7 linked regions of the Danio rerio genome follow. The protein of the gene in region 1 purifies or fractionates together with the protein of each later gene. This does not show direct contact. Links are inferred from orthologs where the notes say so. Each region holds a gene or a part of one and is shown in the gene's direction. Other genes may lie near its edges.

The links.
Region 2: the proteins of cdk8 (region 1) and med20 purify together in Homo sapiens (affinity purification with mass spectrometry; 8 studies listed by BioGRID and IntAct, counting the BioPlex papers as one, with this or other methods). This does not show direct contact. The link is inferred for Danio rerio from reciprocal best matches to the Homo sapiens genes CDK8 and MED20.
Region 3: the proteins of cdk8 (region 1) and med19a purify together in Homo sapiens (affinity purification with mass spectrometry; 8 studies listed by BioGRID and IntAct, counting the BioPlex papers as one, with this or other methods). This does not show direct contact. The link is inferred for Danio rerio from reciprocal best matches to the Homo sapiens genes CDK8 and MED19.
Region 4: the proteins of cdk8 (region 1) and med23 purify together in Homo sapiens (affinity purification with mass spectrometry; 10 studies listed by BioGRID and IntAct, counting the BioPlex papers as one, with this or other methods). This does not show direct contact. The link is inferred for Danio rerio from reciprocal best matches to the Homo sapiens genes CDK8 and MED23.
Region 5: the proteins of cdk8 (region 1) and med25 purify together in Homo sapiens (affinity purification with mass spectrometry; 8 studies listed by BioGRID and IntAct, counting the BioPlex papers as one, with this or other methods). This does not show direct contact. The link is inferred for Danio rerio from reciprocal best matches to the Homo sapiens genes CDK8 and MED25.
Region 6: the proteins of cdk8 (region 1) and med31 purify together in Homo sapiens (affinity purification with mass spectrometry; 7 studies listed by BioGRID and IntAct, with this or other methods). This does not show direct contact. The link is inferred for Danio rerio from reciprocal best matches to the Homo sapiens genes CDK8 and MED31.
Region 7: the proteins of cdk8 (region 1) and med1 purify together in Homo sapiens (affinity purification with mass spectrometry; 14 studies listed by BioGRID and IntAct, counting the BioPlex papers as one, with this or other methods). This does not show direct contact. The link is inferred for Danio rerio from reciprocal best matches to the Homo sapiens genes CDK8 and MED1.

The regions. Positions count from the first base shown.
Region 1 is NC_133199.1:25,393,161-25,397,821, forward strand, and holds the start of cdk8 (cyclin-dependent kinase 8), read left to right. Parts: upstream 1-1,718; 5' UTR 1,719-2,043; coding exon 2,044-2,171; intron 2,172-4,661.
Region 2 is NC_133197.1:573,666-578,178, forward strand, and holds the start of med20 (mediator of RNA polymerase II transcription subunit 20), read left to right. Parts: upstream 1-1,664; 5' UTR 1,665-1,890; coding exon 1,891-1,904; intron 1,905-3,233; exon of another isoform or gene 3,234-3,392; intron 3,393-4,380; coding exon 4,381-4,513. UniProt on the Homo sapiens protein: Component of the Mediator complex, a coactivator involved in the regulated transcription of nearly all RNA polymerase II-dependent genes.
Region 3 is NC_133189.1:26,390,581-26,394,929, reverse strand, and holds the end of med19a (mediator of RNA polymerase II transcription subunit 19-A), read left to right. Parts: intron 1-578; coding exon 579-675; intron 676-755; coding exon 756-844; intron 845-3,244; coding exon 3,245-3,310; 3' UTR 3,311-3,503; downstream 3,504-4,349. UniProt on the Homo sapiens protein: Component of the Mediator complex, a coactivator involved in the regulated transcription of nearly all RNA polymerase II-dependent genes.
Region 4 is NC_133195.1:2,665,716-2,669,597, reverse strand, and holds part of med23 (mediator of RNA polymerase II transcription subunit 23), read left to right. Parts: intron 1-576; coding exon 577-701; intron 702-3,882. UniProt on the Homo sapiens protein: Required for transcriptional activation subsequent to the assembly of the pre-initiation complex. Component of the Mediator complex, a coactivator involved in the regulated transcription of nearly all RNA polymerase II-dependent genes.
Region 5 is NC_133178.1:29,272,485-29,276,856, reverse strand, and holds the start of med25 (mediator of RNA polymerase II transcription subunit 25), read left to right. Parts: upstream 1-1,347; 5' UTR 1,348-1,526; intron 1,527-1,922; 5' UTR 1,923-1,983; coding exon 1,984-2,108; intron 2,109-2,183; coding exon 2,184-2,229; intron 2,230-2,308; coding exon 2,309-2,433; intron 2,434-2,567; coding exon 2,568-2,666; intron 2,667-4,372. UniProt on the Homo sapiens protein: Component of the Mediator complex, a coactivator involved in the regulated transcription of nearly all RNA polymerase II-dependent genes.
Region 6 is NC_133196.1:43,308,387-43,312,957, reverse strand, and holds the start of med31 (mediator of RNA polymerase II transcription subunit 31), read left to right. Parts: upstream 1-1,707; 5' UTR 1,708-1,847; coding exon 1,848-1,869; intron 1,870-2,365; coding exon 2,366-2,440; intron 2,441-2,625; coding exon 2,626-2,722; intron 2,723-4,571. UniProt on the Homo sapiens protein: Component of the Mediator complex, a coactivator involved in the regulated transcription of nearly all RNA polymerase II-dependent genes.
Region 7 is NC_133187.1:16,874,037-16,877,918, forward strand, and holds part of med1 (mediator of RNA polymerase II transcription subunit 1), read left to right. Parts: intron 1-390; coding exon 391-592; intron 593-3,882. UniProt on the Homo sapiens protein: Component of the Mediator complex, a coactivator involved in the regulated transcription of nearly all RNA polymerase II-dependent genes.

The DNA.
Region 1 (4,661 bases):
TTTCAGCCTGGCTAGGCTGGTCAAGCTGGTTTTAGCTGGTCATCTCCCAGCCTGACCAGCTAAGACCAGGTTGGAAATGGCTGGAAACCAGCCTGGAAGTGGCCAAAAACCCTCTAAAACCAGCCAACCAGCCTAGGCTGGTTTAAGCTGGATTTTTCAGCAGGGATCACACTACACTTTGAACTTTATTAGTATTTTATTATGCCATTAAATGATTTTTGCTGTAAATATGCCTGCCAATATACAGTATGTGTATATAAACTATTATACAACGAGTTACGTTTTAGTGTGTGTCTTCTGTAAATCATGATAGACTAAGTATAAATAATAGTCATCGCTTTTATTGTTTTGTTTTTGCTCAAAAGAAATATAGTTAAACATGACACATTCTGCTGTACAAAAATACAATTTAAAGCTGTATCACACTCATTGATTTGATGTTTGGAATGCCTTTTAGACTTTTTTCAAATTAGTATTTAGCTATTATTATTAAGATTACTACTAGTAGTAGTGGTAGCATCAGTAATAATAAAGTTATTATTAGGTTCTTTCTAAATATATTTAGGGTTTGCATCACAAAGATAATTTCATCTCAACTGATGATTTGATGTTTGGAAATGCCTTTTAGCCTTTTTTGCAAATTAGTATTAAGCTATTATTATTCTTTAAATTATTAGTAAGTAGTAGTATAGTAATATCAGTATTATTAAACTTATTATTAGGTTCTTTCTGCATATATTCATGGTTTGGATCACAAAGATAATTTCACTCCTAATGCAGAAAAATTTAATCATTATTTTACCATTTTTATGTAATTTTTTAAACAGTACGTTTTTGATTGAGGGTGCGTTTTATTTGCAATGATGTTTATATCTACCTTTGCAATTAAACATGATTTTTAAAAGTTACTTGCAATATGTTTTTTTCAATATTTGTTATATTGATTATGGTGAGGCAGTTTACATTATAATTACTATATGATAAATCAGCTTAGGGAAATTTTTAATTGTTTAATTATGCTGTTTTCAAATAGTCTATAAGACACTCTTATTGTCACTCTTATGTCCCCTTTGCTTCACATGCACCAACCACTGCACTAAGGTTCCACAGTGAATAATAAACATTGGTAAATAAGTACATTCAATCAGTACCCCACAAGAACACACATTACACCATTTATGGCTAGATATTGATGAAATATTACTTGTTGAGATTTATTAAATAATTTTTTTATTAATTAATTTGAACCTTTATTATTCAGGGGTCGCCACAGTGGAATGAACCAACAACTTATCCAGCATATGTTTTACATAGCAGACGCTCTTCCAGCCGCAACTCAACACCGGGAAAAACCCATATACTCATGCATTCATACACTTATACTACGGCCAATTTAGCTTTTTCAATTCAACTATAGTGCATGTATTCAGACTGTTGGGGAAGCTGGAGCACCTGGAGGAAACCCACATAAACATGGGGAGAACATGCAAAACAAATGTAGGGGGGCACATTTTATGATTGATTTATTACAAGGGACCCCAAGCACCCAAAAATAAGGGTAAACCATTTTTCCCTCCTAAAACTAAAAATCATGCCATAGAGGGTTAAAATGCAAAACATGCTATAAAACTGAAAAACAAATCCATTCCTAAACAAAGGGTTAAAATCCACGTGGTGCGCCACAAAGCCTCGACGTCTGTGGGCTTGGGAACGGTTTCACGACGCTTTGCGACACTGCCGTACGTGGACGCTCAACTCTCCCGGGTGAGATACCGGCTGAGCGGCGCAGTTGCACAGAAATATCAAAGAAAGCGACTGTTAGTCCAATAACACTCTGCACTTTGTGTCGGATCAAAAGCACACTCGCTCTACACGTCGTTTCAGCCGCCCGTGATCGCTCGCGGTAAATGAGGACTCTTTAATCGAGCTCAGAGCGACGCGAGGGAAGGCAACTAATTGTCTAAACGGGGCTTGAAGTAAGTTGCCTCCCCAGCGGCGCTTTAAAGGGAAGCCACAGCCCGGATCCCCAGAATCACGCCGAAAATGGACTATGACTTCAAAGTGAAGCTCACCGGGGAGAGAGAACGAGTCGAGGACCTCTTTGAGTACGAAGGATGTAAAGTTGGACGGGGGACTTATGGCCATGTGTACAAAGCGAAGAGGAAAGATGGGTGAGTTTTGCACGACGGACTTAAATGCAGCGATATGAGGCCTGCGCTCCCGTCGCGTTTTTGACCTCTGAAACACAACCAAAACACACCGAGCGCTTTTGCCCATTGGTTCGGGGTTTTAGAGAGACACGGCAGCTGATGTGAGATTGATATGCAGGGTTCACGGTTTAAACGCAGGCTTATTTTGAAGGGATTGTGGATGTACGTCAGCAGCAGCAGGCACAAGTGTTGTGATTGACGAGGCTGTGCTGTTGTGATGGGAACAGGTGCGGCTGATTTGTGGGTTTTTTCTTCGTGATGATGAAGACGAAGATACTTTTTACGAAGGCTTGTTTACACCGGTAAACCCGAAGCCTCAATGGAGCATTTCTGCTACAGATTGACTCCTGGTATTAGTGGCTCTGATGTTGATGCATGTTTTATGTCAGTGGTTCTCAAAGTGGGGTTCGCCGGACAATGACAGGGTGTCGCTTGCGGATTTCCAAAAGTCAAATAAATTTATTAAACTCTTACAGGATATCCGCAAAGTCTTAATTGTCAAAAGCAAAATTTTAGCCCCTAAACAGTCTTAAATCTACTGAAATGTTGTGTTTTGTAGGTCTCAAATCTATTTTAACAGGTCTTAATTTTCTTTGTTCATGTATAGTTAACCGATCTAGCCATTAACATCAATGCAATCACCAACAATCCACATCAATTAAACGTAAACTTTTAATTTAAAAATAGCATTTAATTACTTTCTTTACAGTAACATACATTTGATTAAAAGTTCTCCATTTATTTACTGCTGAGGATACTGACCTGGCCTACATATTTCTATTATTATTTATTACTATAGACTGAAGTAATTGACAGCTATGTTTTGTTCTGTTCTTGGTAAGGGTTATAGGGTTTGTGAATGGATAGATTTGACAATTAATACAAAAATAATAAAACACAATTATTATTATTGTATGTTTAAATGTATACAATTTTCATCATTTTTGATAGGGCTAGAGAAAATTTCATTCATAATGGTCTTAAAAATGTCTTAAAGTCTACAATTTAACTTGGTGAAACCTTCTATTAGAATTACCGTAATTAACCATAACCCACAGAAGATAAAAATAGTAGGTTATTGTTACATAAAAAAGCAACAACATGCAAATAAAAAGCCATCAGCCTTTTAATTTTTTCTTGTTGGATTGGTGCGTTTATTTTAGATGAACACAACAGTAATAGCATCAGCTGCAGCAGATTGATTTCATATCACCACCTTGATCTTGACATATCTCTGACTCTGACAATTTTGTGGCAATTGAATACATTAAAATATATACAGGCTACTGACAGGCTGGTCTCCAAAATTAAACCAAGAACAGACTTGTGCTTAAAAACACCGGTCTCATTAGGTGAGGTTAGTATTAAACACATTCATAAATGACCATATAAATTATAGCCTATGGTTGTTAGACTGTTGCAGTTTTTTGTGTTGTCAATATGCTCGTGTTTAACAAGGCCTATTGTTGTGTGTACAACGTTTGTATATTTATAACCACCTCCGATGAATCTGGGGATCATGAGCATTGAGGGAAAGTGTCAACTTGTTGTGACATGCTCCCTATAGTGTTTACCATCAAAATTTTAATATTCGGTCTGAAATCACATGCAATTATTACTTGAAAACAACATTAGCACTATTTATATGACTTTGAACAATGTTGTTTCTTGATAGTCTTTGGCTGCTAATATGATATTACCATTTAGATTTTGCAAAGAATATTTTTGTAAAATTATAATATTAAGGAGAAGTCAGAATGTGCGAATATAAAACCTACTTGACCTCAATGTTGCAGGCTTTGTTATTTTGGGGGACGCTGGCTGAAAAGTTTGGTAACCCCTGTTTTATGTAGATAAAATGTTGCATCATTGTGTTTGTCATGCAGAGAATTCGAAATAAGGTCATGTTTCACTAAAATGAAGTAGGTGATAGTTCCTAAAATAAAATTCTGCCATCGTTTACTCAACCTTTACTTGTTAGAAACATTTTTTTTCAGTTGCACACAAAAAGAAGATATTTTGAAACATGTTGGAAACCAATAGATTTTTTTCGTACTATTGATTATAAGTGTCTACGTTCTAGGCATGGGTCAGTATATTTTTCTGATGTATGATAAACTTGTATAAAAATAGCACAGTTTAAAAGTATTGTGATTACTGCTCTAAATATATTATTTTTAAATGTCTGGCTAAAAACTTTTTTCCCCTTTGAACACAATATATTTTAATTTGGGAAACATTTACAAGATTTATGAGCAGTAAACAAATCAGGGTAAATAATTCAAATCAATTATTGACTTCCAGGGATGCTTCTATCAGGATTTTTGCAGCCATTACAGTGAACCAATTCTGATGCTTCAAGATTTATATTGCATAAAGCACATTTTCCCTCTAAATTTGGTCCTTACCTAAGAGAATAAATTAAGGAGGCAGCATATAATCCCTTCAACG
Region 2 (4,513 bases), on another chromosome or scaffold:
CAGATAGAGGGATAGACAGATGGACAGAGATAGACAGACCGACACAAAAATGGATAGACAGATGGAAGGGTAGACAGAAAGACAGACAGAAAGATGGATAGACAGATAGAAGATTAGACAAACATACAGAAAGATGGAAAGACAGACAGACATAGACAGACGGAGGGACAGACAAAAGATTAGACAAACAAACAGAAAGATGGATAGACAGAGACATAGAAAGATGGACGGATACACAGATGGAGGGATAGACATATGGAGGGATAGACAGAAGGACAGAAAGATGGATAGACAGATGGCTAGAAAGAGAGAGATGAAGGGATGGACAAACACAGGATTAGACAGACCAGACGAACAGAAAAATTGATAGAAAAATGGACAAAGATGGAAAGATAGACAGAAAGATGGACAGACGGATGAAGACAGAGGAAGGGATAGACAAACCGACAAAAATGGAAAGACAGACAGAGAGATAGAAAGAAGGAGGACAGAAAGATTGATAGACAGAGGGATAGAAAGACAGACAGATGGAGGGATAGACAAACAGAGGGTTAGACAGATGGACAGACAAATGGAGGGATAGACAGATGGGCAAAAAGACAGAAAAATAGAGAAATAAACAGATGGAGGGATAGACGGACACAAAAATGGATATACAGATGGAGGGATAGACAGACGAACAGAAAGATGGATAGACAGAGGGATAGACAGATGAAGGGATAGACAGAAGGACAGAAAGATGGATAGACAGAGGGATAGACAGATGAAGGGATAGACAGAAGGACAGAAAGATGGATAGACAGATGGCTAGAAAGAGAGAGATGAAGTGATGGACAGACACAGGATTTGACAGACCAGACAAACAGAAAAATTGATAGACAGATGGACAGACGGATGAAGACAGAGGAAGGGATAGACAAACCGACAAAGATGGAAGGACAGACAGAGAGATAGACAGATGGACAGAAAGATGGATAGACAGAAACAGACGAACGGAGACAGATGGAGGCATAGACAGATGGATAGAAAGATGGAGGAACAGACAGACAGATTGACGGATAGTTTGATAGACAGACATATAGATACACAAATAAACAGACAGAGAGACAGACACACAGTCAGTCAGATGAGAGACAGACAGACAGTTGGTAAAACAGGACAGACACAGACAGAGAGAGAGTCAGTGAGTGCAGCATTCACCCAGTCTGGTCGCCGGTGTCCTGCGCTCCTCCTCGGCTGTGTCCTGCAGCTCCTCCTGCTGTCTGCGGGCCTGCTCCAGGATCCTCCGGCTCAGCTTCTCATCCACGAACTCCTGCTGCTCCTCCTGCCCGCGGCCGCGCTGCTTCTGCCGGCCGCTGCAGCGCACTGAGTCCCGCTGGAGGATCTGCTCGGCCAGGGGCACCGCGCCGCCGCTCCAGGCCTTCTTCACCTTCGGCATGATGACGGTTATCAATATTAGTATTATCTGCCTGTCTGTCTGAGGAATTATGAGTGTGAAATCGCGTCTGAACACATGACGCGCCGCGGAGAGCTGCACACACGTGGGTCTGAGAGCAATGGCGCTGAGAGTGTGTGTGTATACATAGATATATGTCTGTAGTGCTGCTCTGAGAGCAGTTGGAGAGATGAGCGCTGTTTTGGAGCGCGCAGAACTACTGATCCCAGAGCGGCGCTGCGTCACACTGTTTACTTCCGCTCGAGGCTCGGCAGATCTCGGCTCTGTTCATTTTTAGCGCGGCTAATGTTTTTATATTACATGAATTTAATGATTGTTAATATTTTTATTTTATCGAATTTAAGTGTTTTACTTTTACTGATTTCGCGTGTTTCACGCAAACTCGAGTGATCCGGAAGTAAATACCCCGGCTTGCGGAAGTTTGTCTCGAAGAAATGGGTGTAACGTGGTGAGAAACACTTTTGTTTATAAAGTATTGTCCTCAAATAATTAATATTTTCAGTTGTGCTTGTTTTGAGTCTCTCTGGTGCTCCTGATGCTCCCGTTCAGCGCTGTTTGAATGCACAGAGAGGCTTTTGCTCCTCATTCATCAGTCTATTTATTGCTTTATACATGTTTACATCACATGTCACTCTTAAAAGTACTTTACAAAACTGTTATTAGTGTTGTGTAGAACACAATGAAGGCCTGTTATTATTATCAGGTGCACGTGTTCATTCAAACTAACATTTAAGATGAAATATAAGGATATTTGACGAGGTTTTCCCGAAGTTTTGTATAAAAAAAAGTGTAAGATTATCAGCTTCATTTACTGCAAACATATAAAAAAACATTTAACAAGTTTTGTAGTTTACAAGCACTCATTTAAGTAGTGTTCAGGGAGTCCGCGGGGTCTTAAAATTTATTAAAGTGCCCATGAAATGAAAACTAGCCTTGTTGTTGTTGTTAGCTCACAGTGCTAGTTCTGTGGTGAATAATTCATCTGTGCATATTATTGAGAAAATGTAATAGTTTGCCCTTCTAATCTTTAATTGAAATCTGAAAATGCTCTTCCTGTTTGTTTTCAGTTAAATTATCAGATGGTGTGTTTTTGAGAGAGGGGTCTGGCTGCAGACCTGGTGCAGATGCAATCTGAGCTGCATCCAATACTTTAAGCTGTGCTTACACTGGGCTTTTCTCACCATAGACTTCATTCATACACGCGAATGCGTCAGACTGGAAACGCAGGGTCATGCGTCAAGTTTCGCAGGTCACTTCAGTGCAAAGTTCAACCTTGGTGAAGTCGGACCTGCGAAATCACATCACTTGACTGCGGGAGACCAATCGAGGATCAACATGAGCTCTCTGGACAGAAATGAAACACATGCAGCAATCACTCGCTTTATTAATGCCTAATCATCTTGTTTAATCCCGCCCCTTTTCGCAGCGCCGTACGGCGGACTTTCGCACACGCAAGCTCTAGTGTGACTGCAGCTTTAATGTGCTCACCTAACCCCACCCCTCAAAGTGACCTCACTAGCTCAATTGTGTCCGACATTGCATCACTAAGAGATGCAATCTCAGCTTGCATCACAAAGGCTGCATCCAGATACTATTGGTTTTAGGCAATGGGCGGGGCTAACATTCATAACCACGCCCCTCCAGCTGTCAGTTTTGACAACAAACAGAAATGCTGAGCTGGGGTCCGTACGTTGCTTAAATGATCTTGATGATTTGGCAGATCCTTGATCTGTTCATCTTGATAACTGATCTCTGGCTAATTTGGTTCCTCAAACAGGTTCGTGAATTAGATTAAAATGTCTGGATGCACATCTGAGATCAGCGTGTGTTGTGAAGGGCAGATTTATCCATCCCCAAAATCATGATCAGCAATGCAGCGATTGGCTGACGGCACAGCAGCGCAATGACATCATCTGATCAATATTCAATTCTCCATGTGAGCAAAATTATTTAAAATTCTTAGTAAACGGTTTGTTAAATATGACACACAATAACTTCCCATGTTTGTTGTGAGCTGCAGGCTTTTTTACACATTCATGTGTCAAGAGTATTCAGCAATTTATTTTATTGTTAGAGCAGATTTTCCTTATTACAGTCGCCATATTAGTATTATAGTAGCCGGTTTCTTAATTGGTATAAAGATTAACAGGATGTTTAAATTAATTTTGCATCACAAAAGCATTTTACTATTGGTAAAGATGTCTGCAACTTTTTTGAAGGCATTAAATCCCAGTCATATTACCGAATACCTGCATGAATGTATTATTCCTTTATAAAAAAAGGTTGCATTAATTTTCTCTTTGATCCACCAGGTGGCAGTATTTGTACTTTTATTTCGGAGTGCAGATTGCATAAGTTTTATTTATATATATTTTAACTTATATATATATATATATAGTTAAAAAATATATTTACTATTTTCCCAAGTGTATATAACTATATAACTACTGTAATAAAAGATCAGAATTCGTTACATAGTTTCAGTATTATCTTTGCTTGAACTGAACCGATCTTATCCTGTTTATATGAAACAAGCTGCTGCTCCCCAGCAGGTTTGAGCTACCAGAACTATTGATAGGACAACAGCTCTCAGATGAGTTTTGAAGAGCGTAACGATCCTGGAACATGTCAAATCGTCAATAACCAAATCCGTTATATAATAACTGAGTAATGCATGTACGAAGAACGGACCCCTGGGGTTTGGTTTTCATAGGTGAATTACTCAAGTATATCAATCTATCTATATAGCTAGATAGACAGACATTACACATATGCACACACAGACTCGCACAATTATTTTTATTATTTATTTTTATTGATGTTTACACTGATCAGAATGATCTTGCTTTAGTAAACTACCATTTTGAAACTGTTTTTAATTGTAAATAAATTAAACGTCTCAAATGTGTGTGTGTTTGTGTCAGTGTTTGTCAGGTGCCAGTGGCCGAGGGTAAGAGCGTCCAGCAGACGGTGGATCTTCTCCACAGGAAGCTGGAGCAGCTGGGAGCCGTAAAACAGGGGAACTTCTGGGTGGACTGTGAGACGTATCACGCTACG
Region 3 (4,349 bases), on another chromosome or scaffold:
ATGTTTAAATGTGGCTTGAAGCATTTTGAGCCAGAGAAAGAGGCCAGTGGCACTTGTAAATCTCAGTTTATATGTGTTTTCCATCAGATTTTTATTTTCACTCTCCGTCTTTTAATCCTGAAGTCTTCTGAAATGGCAATAATTATTTTTTAACATTAATAGATATACATAATTCATATCAAATTCACATTGTTTAGATTACTAGAATGGACACTTTATTTTTCTCCCAGTTAAACAGCCACTTAATGAGTGAGTTTTAGCTACTTGTAGCGTTCAGAAAAAACGAAATACCCATGAAGATACTCGACACAGAGGAACATAACCTACTGCCAGCAAGTGTACGGAAGTGTTATTGCAGAGCAACACAAACAGCATGTATACAGTAGTATAAATGCACGACTACCCGCAAGGCAGGCACCGTGGATCACTGCGATCACGCAGAAGTATAAATCAGCCATTTTAAAAGGGATTTTTGCACAATTGGTCCCCTTTTAAACAAGATGTAGACAGCATATTTTCTAAAGCAATCTAAATGTGTTCTTTGAGCTTCATCTTTATAGTGTTGGTTTGTGTTGCAGCTTCCTGAGCAGTACAGACTGATGCACATACAGCCACCAAAGAAGAAGAGCAAACACAAACACAGACATCATCACCCTCAGGATCCTCTACCGCTAGGTCACTTCAAAAGCTCATGGATTTTCACATTTTATTTCCTCTGTGCACCACATGCATGTTAACTTCCTTTCCCTGTGCAGAAACCCGCACTGACCCCACCAAGAAGAAGAAAAAGAAAGATAATGAACCTGAACGCAGGAAGAAAAAGAAAGACAAGAAGAAAAAAAAGGTGAGCCACTTTGTTGATGCGGCGCAGAATCTTACAAATTTACAATAATTAAAAAGTGTATTGTTGAACAAGGTTGAATGCTACAGGATGTTCCTGTATAAATAATAATGCGTTATTAAAATTTTAAAAATGTATACACATAGGAAGCAGCTTTGCTTTGGTGTAACATCTGAGCAGCCTTGAACAATGCTCTTTATAATTATTTATCATTTTTGCTTCACACAAATATTATTTCAACAGTAAACTGTGTTTATTTTACATTTAAAAGGATGTGTAAGCTTAATGAATGCGCCCTCTTTTACATGAATATTTTACACTAATATAGTTGTGCATATATACTTTAGATTAGTCAGTACTAAAGCTAAGACTGGAACTGATCTAACAAAAAGACTTAACATCACGGTCTAAAAATGAGACCAGCCAAATTAATTAAAGGTGCAGTAGGTGATTGTCTACAGAAACATTTTTTGATGTGCAGGTTGAAAGTCTCTTCACATTCCTATAGTAATGATTAAATTAAATGATCTAAATGTATTTACATGTATTTTTGTATTCTGGGTAAGTCATAAGACTAAAAAATGTTAATTCCCATAATTCTGATAAGTAGCCCAAACTGTCTGTCAACAAATGTAGACTTGTACATCTGCGCTGCTATTCGTGCAAATCTGCCGTTTGTGTGTGCACGTGCGTTCACGTGCACATGAGAGAGAGCGCGACCAGTAAAAACAAATGCTGAAACAAAACTTTATAATCCTGAATCAATATTGAAGTTAGTTTTTATGCTGGAGGAAGAACGAGACCATGGCTGAAGTATTTCTTTTAGACAGGTCATGTTCTGTTTTAAAACTATTAAGTCACACAAAGCTGATGTAGATTCTGTTGTTTCACGGATGTGTTATATGCACGAAAGTGTAATTCCTGCACCCGCCAGCCAACCACTAAGCATACAGTAGTGGCTTTAGGACAAAACGTGGGAGAGAGTGAGACCAACGATCCTTGTATGGATGAAATATTGCACATTATGACAAGTTTTGCTTGCTACACGACTGAAAACATGCTGGATATAATACAGTATTTTGTACTTTACAGTAATAAAGTATTGTAAAGTTTTTCAACTGGCGAATGACAAGAGTTAGTGGGCTGTCTACTGTCATCTTTGCAGTGCGTGTTTGTGATTTCAGGAGGCGTGGCTTTGAAAAATAGGGGTGGGACTGTTTTCTAAGATATTATGCTAACCGGTTAGCATTTTGGCAGATCACCTACTGCACCTTTAATGAGAAACTTTTTGTACAAATTTTCTGTCTCTCTATTCCTGAATGCGTTAGGCGATTTAATTTAATTTGAATAAATATAACAGTTTGATACAACACCAAAATATATTGACGATTCACAGAGAAATTGATTAAAAAAAATAGGAATTTTCCAAAAGGGTTGCAACTCATTTATGCTTTAAACCGTATGCATGTGTGTGTGATTTAATTTTTTTTCTTAAATTTATTTGAATAAAATCATTGTTTTTATCTTTTACTAAAACTAAATAAATTTTCAAACTTACTTTAGACATCTTGCTTCTCAATAAATGTGTCTTGATTTAAGTAACTGATAAGTTATTCACAATAGGAAACAAGACAGTATTTTGCAGTATAACATTTTATAAATAATATTAAAATATAACACATTAGGGCTGCACAACATATTGTTTCAGCATCAATATCACAATGTGATCATTCGCTATAGTCACATCGCACATTTGCATGTGTTTTTGATGCCGCTGATTGTATAAATGATTTTAAAAACATTCAGCTATATGAAATTGTACCATTTGTGACTTTAACAACAATTAATTTTTAATTATTTTTTATTTTTATCATTCAAGTTTTACTTGAATACTGTTAGACTCACACTTTATTTGTATTAAAACACTTTATTTGTATCTTTTTCTTGATTGTATTTATAGATTGTTGTGCATGAAAATACTCGCAACACATGCAAATACAGAAATGCACTGCAAATAGCACAGACCACAATGAAAATGTGCCAGAGGACCCCAAAAATGTTAAAAATAGTAATTATAAGAATCTAATTTTATAAATTATTTCCAAATAGAGACAGTCATCTGGTGAAATTTTATTCATATTGTAAAATATATTGCAGAGATATATTTTTTCCAATATTGCGCATCCCTATAACACAATATTAAATGCTCAATGTTAGTGGCATTCAAAATCAAATCGATGGTCTGCACAGTGTAGAATATGTCCCTAGAATCTACTTGATACCTTAATTATGTTGTAGAATAATTACTTGTTTATTGCTGGGACCTGTCACATTTAAAGTACACCCCATTTAGTCTTGTTAATGCATTTAAAAGGTCTTGGTCTGTTCCCTCTTTTCTTTTAGAATCGACACAGTCCTGATCATCCTGGTGTTACTGGATCTCAACCCAACAGCAACAGCCTGAGATAGAACAGTTGTGTGTGTGCGAGTGTGCTTGTTTGTATGTATGTTTGCACACATGAAGTGATGTTGAACTGTGTTAGAGAATCTGATATGGACCAGTGCGGTTGATTGATGTTTACAAGGGCCAATTGTTGATGATTTTTGACTTCTTTTTCTGGTTATGATGAAAAGCTCAAGGAATAAACTTTGTTATTCTTTATACAGTCTTTAAACACACTCTTTCTTTTTTGTTCACAATAACAGATCATAAAGTGTGCCAAGAAAATATCCCCCACACCATTACACCATCACTAGCCTGAAGTTGTTGATGCCACATTCTGACCATACCATTCGAATGTCACAGCAGAAATCGAGGTTCATCAGACCAGGCATAGTTTTTTCCAGTCTTCTATTTTCCATTTTGGTGAGCCTGTGCCAATTGTAGCCTCAGTTTCCTTTTCTTAGCTGACAGGAGTGGCACCCGGTGTGGTCTTCTGATGCTGTAGCCCATTCGACTCAAGGTTGGATGTGTTGTGCGTTCAGAGATGCTCTTCTGCATACCTCGGTTGTAATGAGTGGTTATTTGAGTTACTGTTGCCTTTCTTCCATCAGTTAGAAGAACCAGTCTGGCCATTCTCCTATGACCTCTGGCATCAACAAGACCACAAAACTGCCACTCACTAAATATTTTCTCTGTAAACCCTAGAGATGGTTGTGCATGAAAATCCCAGTAAATCTGCAGTTTCTGAAATACTCAGACCAGCCAGTCGTGATCCGTTTCCTTGCTGAAATAGTTTTTATTAGCATTTTACTAATTATTTTTATTGACGGTGCTTTAGTACTTAAATATTTAAACATTTTCACTGAAAAGAAAAAAAAATCTAAATTTCATTAAAGTTGAAATTGTTTTCGTGTGAAAGGTCATGTGATTAACAGGAAGCTCGCAGTCGCAGCATCTCTCGAATGCGTATGCTCTCGCTGTTCTCCAAAGAGCAAATAATCACTATTCACCGACCGGGACAACAAGAACGTGAACCTGTGCAAAGACACAGCCTTTGCTTCATTG
Region 4 (3,882 bases), on another chromosome or scaffold:
AATCTCCCTTTGGAAAACAGCTTCACAAGGGTCCATGTTTGCTTTGTGTATCACAATATTGCATAAAGCTGCTTTATAAAAGAAGTATAAGTGTTGCAAGATTTCACATAATTATCTAATTGTGACTTTTCTGACTGATATTGTGATTTAATTATGTGAAGTTTTAGCGCGGTATTCTCAATATGAGAATAAATAAACGCACACAGTTAAAGTCAGAATTATTAGCCCCCCTGAATATTTGTCCTCCCCTGAATTATTAGACCCCCTGTTTATTTTTATTCCCAATTTTTGTTTAATGCAGAGAAGATTTATTTCAGCACATTTCTGCACATAATAGTTTTAATAACTCATCTTTAATAGCTGATTTAGTTTTCTCTTTGCCATGATGACAGTAAATATTATTTGACTAGATATTTTTCAAGACACTTCTATACAGCTTAAAGTGACATTTAAAGGCTAGTAATTCTGACTTCACCTGTGTATACAGGAATTAAAACATTGTAGTTTTTGATAGTCAGGGAGAAGAGATGTTGTGTGAGCTGTAAATGTGCGGTGTGTGTGTTGGTGTCCTTGCAGGAGTCTCATGAGCAGTGTGTGCAGTGGATCGTGCGCTTCATTCATGGTCAGCACAGCCCCAAACGCATCGCCTTCCTCTACGACTGTCTGGCCATGGCGGTGGAGACCAGCCTGCTGCCACCCAGGTACACACACACACACACACACACACACACACACACACACACACACACACACACACACACACACCATATTGCTAAGAACACTAGTAGAAATGCAACTCAACCCAGGACAAACAGCATGGTCTTTTCCATTTCTTAACAGTTAAACTAAAATGATTCAGACTTTAACCTCAACTAACTCCTATCCTAACAAAGCGTACATCAGCTGAAAGATGAGTTGTTCACCCTGTATAAATCTCAGTGTTAAAAAAAATTACACTTATGACTAGGACTGCACGAAATTGGAAAAATCTGACGTTGTAATATTTAGTTTCTCTGCGACATATATTGTGATATGAATACAATTTTACCAGATGACTTGACTAGCTCTATTTGGAAAAATTCATAGGTTTAAATTGATTGGGCTGATTTTATATAGCAGGGCTCGAAATTGCGACCATTTTGGTCACATATGCGCCCGAAAATTAATCTATGCGACCTCATAATGTATATGGGAGCATTAGTGCGACTGCTGATAATGGTTGTAGTGCGACCTATTTTGATTTTTTCTAAAAACGTGCTGAATCGCTCTTCCCTGCTGCCGCTATATTGGTTCATATTAGCTGTCAATCACGCAAGGTATTCCGCTGTCAGATGACAGGGAAGGAACTTTTATAACCACGGGAAATGCAAACGGCTTAAGAGTGAAGACTTAAAGCACGCAGGTTTGCAAACCCCACCTAAAGTTGAGGCGCAGATGAGAGATCATGACGTGGTAAATATTGATCCGCCAGCTGAGATCAATCGAGTACGTGCTTTTCGGAGAAAGCGATCGAATCTCGATGCGTTGCATTCACTGCGTGTTCAGTGCAAATGTCCGCTAAAAGTCAAATCTAATACTGTACATATCATCACCAAAGAAGCTCGCCTTTACTAAGTTTACACTAAAACTGTGGCTCATAACAAACAGCGGTAATCCGCCGGTGGTCACCGCAAGAATCCTGCTCAACCTGCTCATAAATTGGGTCGGCTGACTCGCCTGCTTTTCCACTAACACAGAAAAAAAAAAATCAGCTCAGACTGAACCTTTAAATTTACACAAACTGAAACTAAAACTTAAGAGTGATAGAAGTGAGACTTTACTTACTTTCTTTTGTCTATTCGTTCTTGAGGTGTATATATATATATATATATTTTATTTAGTTACTGATGACTGTTTTGCAGCTTTCAGCCTTGAATTTAATTATTTATTATAATCTTTTTTTTTTTGGTAGCAGAAATATTATTTATTAAACTGACATGCATATATAAACAGCAGTACAAAATAAATATTTCTTACTGCAGTGCTTAATTTTTGTTTGATGCAAACTATACATTTGTTTTTCATAAAGTAACAGACTTTTTATAGCAGAAAACTTGCATTCAAGCACATTCAAGGCAGCATGATGATGACAAATGTAATTCATTGTTACTATTATTGTCATTTTCATCATCATTAATATTTTATATTTATTCACCATTCATTTTGGAATTATTACACACAAATATCAATGTCATCTCAGCAATAGTTATAGTTGTTTCTGTTTTTTGTTAGTCCTAATGGATGTTGTTTTAAAATACAATAAATCCCTTAAAATACAATTTGCAGCGGTGCTTAATCATTTTTGGTGGGTGCTCCTAAATTTTTTCTGGTGCTCCTAAATATTTGAAGTTGGGAGCACCAGTGCTACCAAGTAAAAAAGTTAATTTCGAGCCCTGTATAGTAATAAAAAAAATCTACAGGGTAGGGTGGGCCATTTATACGGATACACCTTAATAAAATGGGAATGGTTGGTGATATTAGCGTCCTGTTTGTGGCACATTAGTATATGTGAAGGGGAAAACTTTTCAAGATGGGTGGTGACCATGGTGGCCATTTTGAAGTCGACCATCTTGGATCCAAATTTTGTTTTTTCAATAGGAAGAGGGTCATGTGACACATCAAACTTATTGGGAATTTTCCTGTGTGAATTGTAGCCTTAGTTTCCTGTTAATAGCTGAGCGAAGCGGCACCCGCTGTGGTCTTCTGCTGCTGTAGCTCATCTGCTTCAAGGTTGGACGTGTTGTGTGTTCAGAGATGCTCTTCTGCAGACCTCGGTTGTAACGAGTGCTTATTTGAGTTACTGACTATGTTTACATGGACATCAGTAATCGAATTATTTGCTTTAATCTAATTAAGACAATAATACGATTAAGGCGTTTACGTGAGTTGCTTTTTGAATGTTTCTTTCATGATCGCGTTTTACATGTTATAGCACATACTTAGATTGACGTCATTGCGTCACCGCACTATCCGCATTTCCTCCAGAGTTTCATGTAATTTCGGGTGTTTCATTATTAATTTGTCAACTTTAACTGCGGTTTGGCACTTTCACTTTCCCTCCGTGATAAAACGGATGCAACTATGAGCTGCTGGAAGACTGTTGTTTTAATGGAAGTTCATACCGCATGCTGAATGGAAGAAAAAAAAAGCTCCGCATTCCACGAGGCAGGTGTCTGTGGTCTGCACTGACTCGGTAGGTGCAAAGAGTGTCAAACAGCCATGTGTGTGTGTGTGTGTGTGCGTGTGAGTGCGCCCTACATGACGGTAATAATTCGATTAAGGTGTTTACATGTCTGTAATGCACTTTAATAATGCGACTAAAATCGGGATACTCCACATGTCTTAATTTTATTTGTCTTTAGTTCGATTATGACCTTAATCGAATTAAATTAATCAAAAATAGCTGTTTACATGGTCGACTCTTAATCAGGGTATTGTCTTAATCGCATTAAAATCGAATTATTGGTGCCCATGTAAACGTAGTCACCGTTGCCATTCTATCAGCTGGAACCAGTCTGGCCATTCTCCTCTGACCGCTGGCATCAGCAAGGCATTTGCGCCCACAGAACTGCCGCTCACTGGATATTTCCTCTTTGACGGACCATTCTCTGTAAACCCTAGAGATGGTTGTGTGTGAAAATCCCAGTAGATCAGCAGTTTCTGAAATACTCAGACCAGCCCATCTGGCAGCAACTACTATGCCACATTCAAAGTCACTTAAATCCCCTTTCTTCCCCATTCTGATGCTCAGTTTGAACTGCAGCAGATCGTCTTGACCATGTCTGCATGCTTAAATGCTTTGAGTTGCTGCCATGTGATTGGCTGATTAGAAATTTGTGTTAA
Region 5 (4,372 bases), on another chromosome or scaffold:
GTTGCCTCACAGCAAGAAGGTCGCTGGTTTAACCCTCGGCTCAGTTGGCGTTTCTGTGTGGAGTTTGCATGTTCTCCCTGCGTTCGCGTGGGTTTCTTCCGGGTGCTCCGGTTTCCCCCACAGTCCAAAGACATGCGGTACAGGTGAATTGGGTAGGCTAAATTGTCCGTAGTGTGTGTGTGTGTGAATGTGTGTGTGTGTGGATCTTTCCAGAGATGGGTTGTGGCTGGAAGGGCATCTGCTGCATAAAAACTTGCTGGATAAGTTGGCGGTTCATTCCGCTGTGGCGACCCCAGATTAATAATGGGACTAAGCCGACAAGAAAATAAATGAATGAAAAATAATAATAACTAATCATGATAAGAATAATATTAATGATATACCAACAATAATAATAATTGGTAATAATAATTGTTGTTATTATTTTTATGCCTTAAAATAATAATAATAATTATAATTATTTACTATTATTGAAAACGTTTAAATAATGAATTTATTTAATATGATTTTGATTATAGGCCGATTCTTTAAACTGAATCATGCCCATTTTGCTTAAAAAACTTTTATATAATAATAATAATAATAATAATAATAATAAGAAGAAGATAACATGATAATAATAATAAGAAGAAGAAAAAGAAAAAGAATACATGATAATAATAATAATAAAAATGGTAATTCTAATTAATGATAATAGTTAATATTAATACCAACAACAATAATAAAGAAAATTGGTAACAATAAAAAAGTCTTGTTATTATTTCTTAAAATAATTATGGTCATTTTAGATAAGCCTTTAGATAATTACAATAATAATAATAATAGATAATAATGATAAGAATAATATCAATGATATATCACCAATAATAATAATTGGTAATAATAATTAATAATAATTGTATTTATTATTATGCCTTAAAATAATATTGATTATAATTATTTACCATCATTGAAAACATTTAAATAATTAATTTATTTAAGGCAATTTTAAATATATTCCTTAAAATGCCCATTTTGTTTCAGAAAACTTTTAAATAATAATAATAATAATTAATAACAATAATTTGTAATGATAATCATTGATAATAATAAAGATGATGCAATTTGTTATGATCATCGACGAAGCCACTTACTTTCTTAAGCTTTATTTTATTTTATTTTTTTATTATCTAACAATACAATGGCTATGTCCGTGTTTAAACCGCAAAAATAACAATGATTATAATAAGGATGATAATAACAAAGAATGACGACTGAAAAGGACGTCGCTGCTGTTGGTTTCTAAATTGATCATTCATAAATCGATTCACCAGCCCAGTCCACTTTCAAGATCTAAAACCAGACCGTACTGTCGATTGCCGAGCCAAAAATCCCGATGTTTGTTGTCATTACGCTCTACATTTACTTTCAGATGAAGCTTTAATACACAATAAAACTACCAGGGGCTGGTTCGGATATAATCAAGATAAATGACTGAACCGGTTTGTTTTATTCACAGTAAAAGCCAGTTCTACTAATTCTAGCAGGTAAGACACCCGAGCTAAATTAGCATTTGAGGTTAGCGGCTAGCATGCTAAGACCTGTATGAATGGATAGTGTTCACGTTTTACATTTTAATTTATTTGTATTGATATTGTGTTTTTAAGAATTTACTCGTTAATTAGGTAATGATAAGACAAATATATCACATCTAAAATAAGTCTCTTAGGCTTTTTGGCACGGACATAATGAATGATTCAGTTAAAAAAAATTGTTTATGTGTATTACTAACGTTAGGTATTAAGACAGCCAAATATGTATGTCTTGGTTTGGTTTACTTGCATTTAGAATGGAAATAATGTTAAAATAATAGCAAATAACACCAATATAAAGTCATTCATCAATAAAACATTATAAAACATTAATATTTCGTTTTATTCCAGCAAATCTTCTATATGAGTTTGATCTTATATCTGTGTTGGCTGTAGACCAAAGGTGACCCATATGGACCCCACGTCCAAATCTGGGTTGAATCAGGTGTCAGATGTGGTGTTTGTCATTGAAGGAACTGCAAACCTTGGTCCATATTTTGAATCACTTCGGAATAATTACATACTGCCTACTATAGAGTAAGATTTATGACATTCATTACAATACAGTACATTTGTTAGACACTTGAACTGACTTATTTAATATATTTACAGGTATTTTAATGGAGGACCACCGGCTGAAACTGATTTTGGAGGAGATGTGAGTTGGAGGAGTCTGTTTATACCTTCTCTTTACATTTCTGCCATCTCAATTCTGATGATCTTGTTTGTTTTATAAGTATGGTGGCACTCAGTATGGACTGGTGGTATTCAACACAGTGGATTGTGCTCCAGAGTCATATGTCCAGTGCCATGCTCCAACCAGCTCTGCCTTCGAGTTTGTGTCTTGGATTGACAGCATTCAGTAAGGAATCCCATTGTAATCCTATTTTATGTCAGGAAGTCTGGGATAAAGGTTTTAAGTGAATGTCTGCTTTAAAGATATTGTGATTGAAATACTGAGAACAGTTTTAACAGTTTTTTTTTGTTGTTGCACAGGTTCATGGGAGGTGGAGCAGAGAGCTGCAGTCTTATAGCTGAGGGTCTTTCTGTGGCCCTGCAGCTCTTTGACGACTTCAAAAAGATGAGGGAGCAAATGTGAGTTCTTGAACTTGTTCTATGAAATCACAAATCTGCTTTTGAGGGTTTAATCAGCTTGCTTAAGGTATTTTAAAATGACTTTTTTTGAAATGTAAATACAAGAAAAATCTTTGAACACAGCACTATTTATAAAGATTATCAGAACAGAAAGCAGTTGAAGGATGGTGTGTAATAATCAATTATTTGTCTGACTCCACCATAATTAATCAAACACTGTTAAAGTTATTAACATCACTGATAAAGAGAGATAATCTTAAAGCTGTAAAAGAAAGAACATTTCATGTTAAGTTACATGTTTTAATATACAGACAGTAGAATGAAATATATCAACATTATTAGGGCTGCACAATATTGAAAATATGAGACATTGCAATATTTTTTGTTTTCTGTAATATATATAGCGATAAGAGTACAATTTCACCAGGTGAATTGAATAGCTCTATTTAGAAAGATTTTATTCATTTAGATAATATGATGATCAGGTCTTTTTCTATGCACTGCATATACATAAATTATTTTATATATATTCAGATGGAAAAACCTCTGAGTGCCGTCTGAAATGTTTATCAAAAGTTTGAATTTTTTTTTTCAGCTTTCTTTGTTTATGTTGAGATATTTCACTTTAAAGACCAAGAAAAGGTCTTGTTCTTTGCCATAAAATTGGTATTACTGAACATACACACAGGAGCCTGATTAAAAATGCACATTTTAGAGGACAATTTCAGACAGTATTTAGAGGTTTTTGTTTCTAAACTCTTTGTGTGTGTGTGTGTATATATATATATATATATATACACACACACACACACACACACACACACACACACACACACACACACACACACACACACACACACACACAATAGAGCCAGAAAAAAAGTTAAATAAACCATACTTTGTAATTTTCTGGAAAGTTTAACAGTATTTCAGGTACAGAAATTGAACAATCAAGCATAAAATAACATGGTCATCATTTCAATAATTATTAAAAAATAATATTTAATAATTTATCTTTAACTCTTTAATAAATAATTTAATCCTGCAATTTGACTGTTGCGGACACACACACTGTGATATTGATGCTCAAACAATATGATATGCTACCCTAAACATAATGTATACAAAAAAGCTTAGTTTTGATTTTTGCTCTGCTATGCAGCAAAGACAGAGAACAACAGATACATTTCTAGGCATGAGTGAAATACCATTCCCCAAAACCAGCTGAAATGTGAGGAGATAAAGAGGGGGAGATGTAAATATGCATTATAAAGTATGCAATATTATCCTCGGGTCATAACTAAACATTAGTAGATTAATCATTCATTAGAAAACATCAAATGACACTTAATGTGACAGAATGACATAAAAGGAGATCACAAGTAGATAAATTGTGTTTGGTGGAAAGCAAAGTATTGGAGATGTGAGATGTGAAGGAACTCTACCTCACCCAGATGACTCATTCTGTGCTTAGAATGTCCCTATAGTCCTTTATTAGCAAAGAAGGGATCATAAGACTTACATAGTCGTGAATATCATATAGTTAAAAATATAATAGTTTATCAGTCTACATTAATTTGTGCAGAGTTCTTTCCAGTACAACAAAACTAATGACACTGCATTTTTAAGGGATGCCATCATCATGTGCACTACATTATCAGTAAAATGCTGAAGACTAGGGCTGTATAATATATCAAACTAAAATT
Region 6 (4,571 bases), on another chromosome or scaffold:
AAAAAAGATGAACAATGATTTCTTCCAAGTCACATTTTTTGAATTGTATTTACTGAACATTTTCAATCAAATGCATGACACATTTTATAATAGGATATTCACATTTTAGCATAAAATCTGTTAGCAAAATAAAAAGAAAGAAAGAAGGAGAGAAAAAGCAAATAAAGAACAAGAGCGGGTTTACAATTACCATAAAAAAAGAGGAGTTTTGTTTTTGGAGTAGATCCACAGTTGCTTTATGACTTGAAAATCCTTTAAGATTATAAAAATATTTTTTTTAAATCAGCTTTGAAATGAAAAATGTTAGGCTTTCTCTTTGAACAATAACACTTGTGTATATGAAACTTAATAATATCAAAAGATTTAACATTAACAGGGGATTCTTATCTATATCTTTTTGATCTACGCATCTGACATCTCTTTTTCTTTAAATTAATTCTGTGACCACTTAGTATATTAAATAGACATTCAACATAAAGCCAGAAATATTTAACATATATACAATCAACAAACAAATGCATAAGAGTCTCAACATCCACTCCGCAAATAAACACAAATTCAGAAAGATCAACTTTTGATCATCTTTTGAGAAATTGGTTGGTTGGATATATTTTATGTATAATTTCACTTTATTAGTGACACAATACTTGTTGTTATAAGTCCAGATCAAGTTCCAATAGATATTCTCAGATTATTCCAAAAGTATTTGTGTCTAAAAGTGGCAAGATAATAAATCAAGCGTCTACAAAATTTATTATTACATTTTCTATCTTTGAAATCAACACCATGTAATTAAATCTCATTTTTAACTGTTAGTTTATTTGGTTCACTGTAACTCTGCAAAAGCCCCGCCAGGCCTTGTGGAGGCACAGGAACTAAACTTCTCAAAAAAATTCAGTAGCCTATAAGTCAGTAAATATCCTTCATCTTTTAAGCTGTGAGACCAATAGAACACCTTTTTAACCAAATTATCATGGAAAATAGATTTTTTTTTCTTATATTCCAAGTCACAAAATGTATTTTGTAGGCTACAAATATTACTACGAAAAAAAAAGGTGCAAATGCCTCATAAATACTTTTTTAAAATATTGCCTGAACTTTATTCGGCTTACTTATTTGTTTCTAAACATTTTGATATTCCGAGTAGTTGTACATTTTGTGGTGAGGATGATGAAACTTTAATACAATTATTTTGTATGTGTGAATTTGTTCAGAAATTTTGGTTTGACCTTTATCGTTATTAAACACTCCTCCTACCTTTGCACAATATTTTAGTTTAAAATAAAGTGTTTGTTATTACTCAGAATAAATCTGAAGAATTTGTTTTCAACTTTTTATCTTGTTTGGAAATATTTTATACAAATATGCATTGTTTCAGTCCCTACTTTTCGACATTTTCTCATTAAAGTTGACTCCTGCTCAAATCTTTGCGTACGTGTAACAACAACAAAAAATGTGTCAGATACTTGGCTCTACATGAAGAACTGTTGACTCTGATTTGAGTTAAATAGCTCTTAATTAATTTATTTTTATACAATTTTATACAAGTGTAATTTACTTACCCCTTACAAATGTAGTTTGTATTGTTCCTATTTTGTATCTCTCTTATATTGATCTCCTGATTGTGGTTGTAAGTTTTCATTCTTTATTATTTAAAAAAAAGGTGCAAATGTCGTGAAACACTTTTACGACAGCAGCACTGGTTTTATGGCAAAAATGGCGTCAGCGGTCTATGTCCGCATAAACAATGAGTAATGTGTTGTTTTTGGTAATCGCGCTCTAAAAAATCTTTTTATACTAATCATTTTCCAGATATTTCAGCGTCGTCTGAATTCTCGTTGTCCGTAATGGCTGGTGTTATGGAAACAGGTTTGTTAAAATTAGATTGAATTGTTATTTAGCACATCTTTGCCCACGAGATTCCTAGCAATGTGACAGTTAACGTAAATACAATTGTTTGGTAACGTATTTTAGTTTCGTTTTGATCATATTAAGTTATACAACGTTTTAGAGGTACTACACTATGTGTTATTTTCTGTACTGGCGCAGATATATGTTGTTCAAGCAATTTCTGTAACACTTAACATTAAGGTAGTATCGTCGTTAGCCAATGTTTGCTAACATGAACAAACAAGAATCGTTATATTTATTACAGTGTTTGTTCGTCTTTGTTAAAAGTATTAATGAAATAAAGTAATCTCAACTTACGGTGCATCAACTAATGTCAAGCATGAACTTGCATTTTAATTATGCACTAATACAAGTATTGTTCGTTGGTAGTTCATGAATACATTTACTAATGATTATTTGTATTATTTCTTTTCAAACACAAACATTGCTTACGCTTCTATTTGTGCTTTGACAGACGAGCAGGCGAGACAGCGCTTTCAGCTGGAGCTGGAGTTTGTTCAATGTCTGGCAAACCCAAACTACCTGAACTGTAAGAACAACGTTAACTCTTGTTTCTTTTTTACTGTTCGCTAAATTCAGTCATTACTTTAGTCATTGGTCAAATTCACTCATTGGTTGTTACATTCTGTAAATTCAAGGTAATTTTGTTACTGTGGTCGAAATATGAAGATGGATAATGATTATTAATCTTAATTTTTTCCCCCCATCCTGCAGTTCTGGCTCAGAGAGGTTACCTGAGAGAGAAGCCTTTCGTCAATTATTTAAAGTATCTGCTTTATTGGAAGGAACCAGAATATGCTAAATTTCTAAAGTAAGTAACATGTTGTTCTTGTTGAAATAGATTGTTAATTTGTCAAACATTTCTTCTTTGGATGATGAGTGCTTCTAATAAAAGCATGAAAGAAAGAAAGAAAGAAGGATATAAAATTTGTTCAATATCGTGTAGTTCTAGTGCATAATATTTATTAGTTATTTATTATTAGTTATTTATTAGTTAGTATTATTAATTATTTATTAGTTTACTAGTTATTTTGTAAAATACTATTATTCAGCTTAAAGTCCTGTTTAAAAAATTGACTAGCTCAATTAGGCTGGTCATTTGACAGCAGTTGTTTGTTTTGTAGACAGTCGAATATAAGAAGTTCTTAAGGGGGTGAAAAATATCGACCGTAACGTTTTAAGAAATTTATTCTTTTAATGCCACCAGAATAAAGAAATGAGACATTCTATATAAGTTAAAACGTAATAGTTTAGAATAGAAATATAAATATTTGTTTTGCTAAACATGACTTGGGAAAATATTTGAAAAGGAATTAAGAATTTTACAGGTGGTCTAATAATTTAGCTGTATATAGTTGTATTTAAAAATGTAAATTGAATTACAAGTTTAGTATGTGTGCCTAATCTGTATGGAACAAAATTAATGGCAAAAGTATTGAAATAAAAAGTTTGTTGATTAGCATTAACTGAAAAAAAATAATGCATTGAATAAGCAACTGCTTGCATTTTAATGACTTGAATTGCAAGAGTTTGTATTTTTAGGGCCTGAATTTTAACACGGCTGTTTATTTAAGCTGTGAATATTTCAACTAAAAATATTTTAAACATGTTTTTATACTTAAAATTTCAACAATTCATATTCAATTTCCAGATTTCATATATATATTAAAAGTTCAATTTTTAAATATATAATACTGGTGAAAAATATGAAGCATAATGTTCAAAATTTAACTTTCAGTTTGTTTACTTTTCAGTTTAAAATTTTGCTTCCAAAAATTCAGTGGTTTAAATTTGGCTCTTAAAATTCGACATTACTTCCGGGAACTGCAGGAACAGCAATAGATTGCAGATTGGCAATCTCCAGCTGCTTTTTCACTAGCAGGTGGACCAATTTAAGATTTTTAAACCATTAAATAAAGGTTTAAAAACTCCCTTTTTAAGGGAAAAAGCTAATAACAGCACAAAAGTAGCATTTAATATTGTCCTTGTTAAATTTTAACAGCCGAATTTGATCCACTAAATTAATGGAAGAGAACTTTTGAACTGAAATAAAGTGAGTTGAAAATTGTCTTTTGAATATTATACATGAAATCCGGAAATTAAGAATTATTATTTTTAAGTATAAAATAAGTATAAGAATTTTCAAGTATAAAAACGTGTTTGAAAAATTTTTAATTGAAATATTTACAGCTTAAATAAACAGCTGTGTTAAATTTCAAGACCTAAAATTACAAACTCTGGCAATCCAAGTCATTAAAATGCAAGCAGTTGTTAATTTAATATATTATTTGTTTCAGTTTGTGCTATTCAATACGTTTTTTTTTTGTTTTTGTTTTTTTTAACAATACTTTGATTTTGTTCCATAAATCTGCAGTTTACATAACCTAAACTATAAAGTTATATTATTTTATTTGTCAATATAAAGCAAAAACAGACAATATGGTGCCAAATTGTAGGTCGCTTACCATTAGTGCTGTGTGATACTGAACAGAAAAGATTTAAGCATTCTAAATAATTCAATGCAATATTTTATTAAAAATATCAAATCAATGAAATATTTCATATGATTTCAGGGAAAAGAGAACATCACTACAACTTCTGAAAGTGAACAGCCATGTTTAACAGAAACATTCATTCTTTCAATAAGAGATAAGCATTTA
Region 7 (3,882 bases), on another chromosome or scaffold:
TGTGAAATATATTGTTACCATGAAATTACATCCTACACAGTAAAGTAGAATCGTCACCCACCTCTAGCTACAAGTAAACCATTATTTTAATTTTACATTTGTTTTTTTAATAGGTGGTTTGCTCCATTTTTAGAGATAAAGCAAGTTGATTAAATCCGAGACAAAATCACAGTATAAATAAAAACTTATCAGAGACTAAGGACTAAGTCTTTCATCATCTAAACCGATTTATCAACTGCCAATTTATTCTGAATAGAACATGCTTCCAGTCAATTAAACAGTCAATTAAAACTGCACACATATTATGTTTTGTCATATTTTGAATCCCGTGACATTAAAAATGGTACATCATTTTAACCTTTTCCATGAATTGTCTTTTTATTTAATTAGTCTTTACCAGGACAGCAGCACTGTTATTTCCTAAATGGTGATGCTCCAGTACAAGATGGAAGGTCTCTTCAAGGAGCTTTGGTTTCCAAGATTCCCTTCAGACATCCTGCTCAGGTGCCTGCTCTCCTTGACATTATAAGACATCAGGCTGCTTACAACACGTTGATTGGCAGTTGCGTTAAAAAGGCCTGCATTAAGGAAGGTGGGTTTCTTTCATACTATGTGTGACTGTAGGTGTTTGCAAAAGAAAACTTCTATTTGCACTTTTTTAATCTGTATAGCCATTTTTGCACATTGCAAAAACCCTGCGCTTTCTGAATTTGCAGTGTACTTTTCAAGAAATGTATCGAGCTAAACAAGGTAACCACATACGATTTTGTTAGTTTCCGTCATTGGATTAAGGATATTAGCCCCTTTCACACAGTGATACCGGTAAATTTCTGGAAAATTTCCGGAAAAGAGCATTCACGCATCCATTCCAAAATACCGGTAAATTCTGACATCATTCACCACAAATGAGCTTTAAATGGCTGCACTTGTATTTGTAAACATTTGACTAAATTACAAACTCTGTGGATGATCAATATTGTGAACAACTTTCGCAGGATCACTTTCGTTTATCAAGATGTTCATAATATGTGCGTGTGCAGGCGCTCATAGGCGCACGCAAAGCTTGAAGGTAAACAAACAACGGCTTATCATAAGCATTTCATCGATGATTATTTACACAGTTGGCATTAAGAAGAACATATAAACGTGATCTGACTAACTTCTAGCAGCTAAATGTGTCTGGAAAAATATTCAAAGGCTTTTATCCTCACAAACCGCGCGGACGTAAATGCGTCTGACTGTTGTGATTGGCTAAAGCAGACGTCTCACGTCAGCACGCTCTAGACGTGCACGCGCTTATTACGTGAATCTTCCTTCTGCATTCACACAGCGCAGCATTCCGGCAAATTGCCGGTAATGTTAAAACTTCTCTTTCCGGAAAATAGCCAGAACGAATTTACCGGTATTTTCAAAAAGGACCTGTTCACACATACAACCTCTGTATGTGTGAAAGAGGCTATAGCCTAGTCTTTGCCAGTTTTTGTAATGATGATACATACATTATATGCTATTTATGTGCGCGGGGAAGTATAGGGTGGTGCGTTCAGTGCAGAAAGTCCAGGATTCATGCGTAGTGAGGTACCGTTCAAGGGTCGGGATGGGAGAGGATTCATTATGAAATCATGCCGGCCATCTGCCTCAACAGCATCAGTTGTGTACTCCTCTTTCAGTGAGCTGCAGCAGTCCCCTGATCGGCACAAGTGGTGTGCTGATTGGGGTGAGGGAGCCATCTCTATGGCAGTGCTGACTACACACTGACAGAAGAGTTAATCATAACACTTTTGACCAAGCCGTTACCAGTTTGATGACCTGTTGTCTCGTGTCGGTAGGAGGATTTTCCTTCAGGACACCAACTACAGGCAGTACTTCATAATCGCACCACTACTAGAGTAAGCTCCTGATTGGGTAACACGGCGTGATTGGTTAACATGGCGTGAACTTGAGAGATTTGTGGGAATTACACGTTAAGAGGACCAAACACTGAAATGCTCAGTTTCCGTTGTGTCATTTGATTGAATTAAATGCTTAACTCTTCATCTGATCTGCATCTTGTGTGAACACATCGTTAGAATATGGCCTTGAGTGTGGATGTTGCTTGAGTTGATGAGGTCTATGTGTGTGAATTTTTAGCAATATCATTGATCTTTGACCAACTACACTAAATTCAAATTGGATTATTGGCTGTGATTTTATTTTTATTTTTTTTATTATCTTTGTTTTAGATCCTGCCGTTGACAGTTTTCCATTATGTTCAGATACCTCTTTCTAATTTTACTGTTGTTTTCTAAGATCTCATTTACTGCTTGGTTCTTGCTAATATCTGGAGATTAAGATACCCGTTGGACAAACAGTATATTTTCTTTTCACATGTCCAAAAATCATATTCCAGGATAGACTTTTTTTTTAGTTTAGTCCAAAACTATTCCTTGTGTTAAAAGAATGAAACATCATAATACATCAATGTCTGACCATTCTGCAGTCACAATCTCTGTAGATCTAGCCAAAATTAAGCCTGGCTTTGTATTTAACAGAGCTGCTTGCTGAGTTTCTTAAATTCAATGACATCGGTGAGGTTCCCAGTTTATTGTTATGTGAAAGCTTAAAAGCAGTTCTAAGATGAAACGTATCTTATGAGTCCAGTTTTAAGAAACAAAGGGAAAACGTCTTGTAGAATTTGATAACCGGTTAGATATATACAGGGGTTCTTTAGATTTGGATAGGTTTAAAGAAATTACTACACTCAAAGTGGAATATAATTTAATTCTTTCTAACCAAGTTAACAATATGTTGTTACAAGTTAAACAAAAGCAATTTGAAATTGGGGATACACCTTAAAAATTGCTTTCTTGTAAGCTTATGGTAATTCAAGCCACTAGTGCTATCCATAAAAAAAATTAAAAACAGGGCTGATATTCCTTTAACAAATCTTACATGACCTGGCCCAGATGGCTTTAGTATAAATTTTTCATTAAAAAAATCCCCTTTGCTGTTAAGGATACTTAACCATTAATTTAATGAGCATAGGCTCCCCGAATCCCTTTCATGCGGCAAACATTTATTTAATTCTAAAAAATAATAATAATAAAAAAAATACTTGCTAATAGATTAAACTATTGCTTAGGAAAAAATATTCATCCTGACCAATCTGGATTTTTTCCTGGTTGTTTTTCTTTTATGTTCTCTTCTTTCTTTTATTTTTTTTAATGTCAGGCAGATAAGTATTTTGTACACCAAATCTGATTCTAAAATCAGTCTTTCAATTCTTGCATTGGTTGCAAAAAAAGCATTTGACCAAATGGAGTGCGACTATATCTTGTGATGTGATTAGAGAGTCTAATTTGGGTGACATATGCATTTTTTTGGGTAAGGATTTTCTTTTTACTTGATCATCTCAGTTCCAGTCACATAGAGGCACCTGTTGTGCTCTTTCATCACTGCTTTTTAAAATTGAGCCCCTCACCCTTGCTATCAAAAAAGAATCCCTTGATTTTGCCCCAAAAAATAGGTCAAATGAACCATAGTATTTCTCTTCATTCAGATGATATTATTTTATATCTCTATTCTCTATAACCCCAAACAATCTGCACCTCTGTTAATAGCTATTTAAGAAACATCTGGAAAATTCTCTGGATACTCATTAAACTGGCAAAAAATAAATACATTTTCACAGTGACTAATATTATTGATTTAAATGTATAAATAAATTTACCTATTTAAAATAGCCACAAATAGTTTAAAATATATTTATTTGTAAATATCTCTAGAAATCTCAAAGAAATATAAGAATTTAACACTCAAATAAAATTACAACAACTGGTATAAAAAAAAAACATCATATATTAAAGTTTCTGGATATGACTGGACAAATTGTCTTAAAAGTAT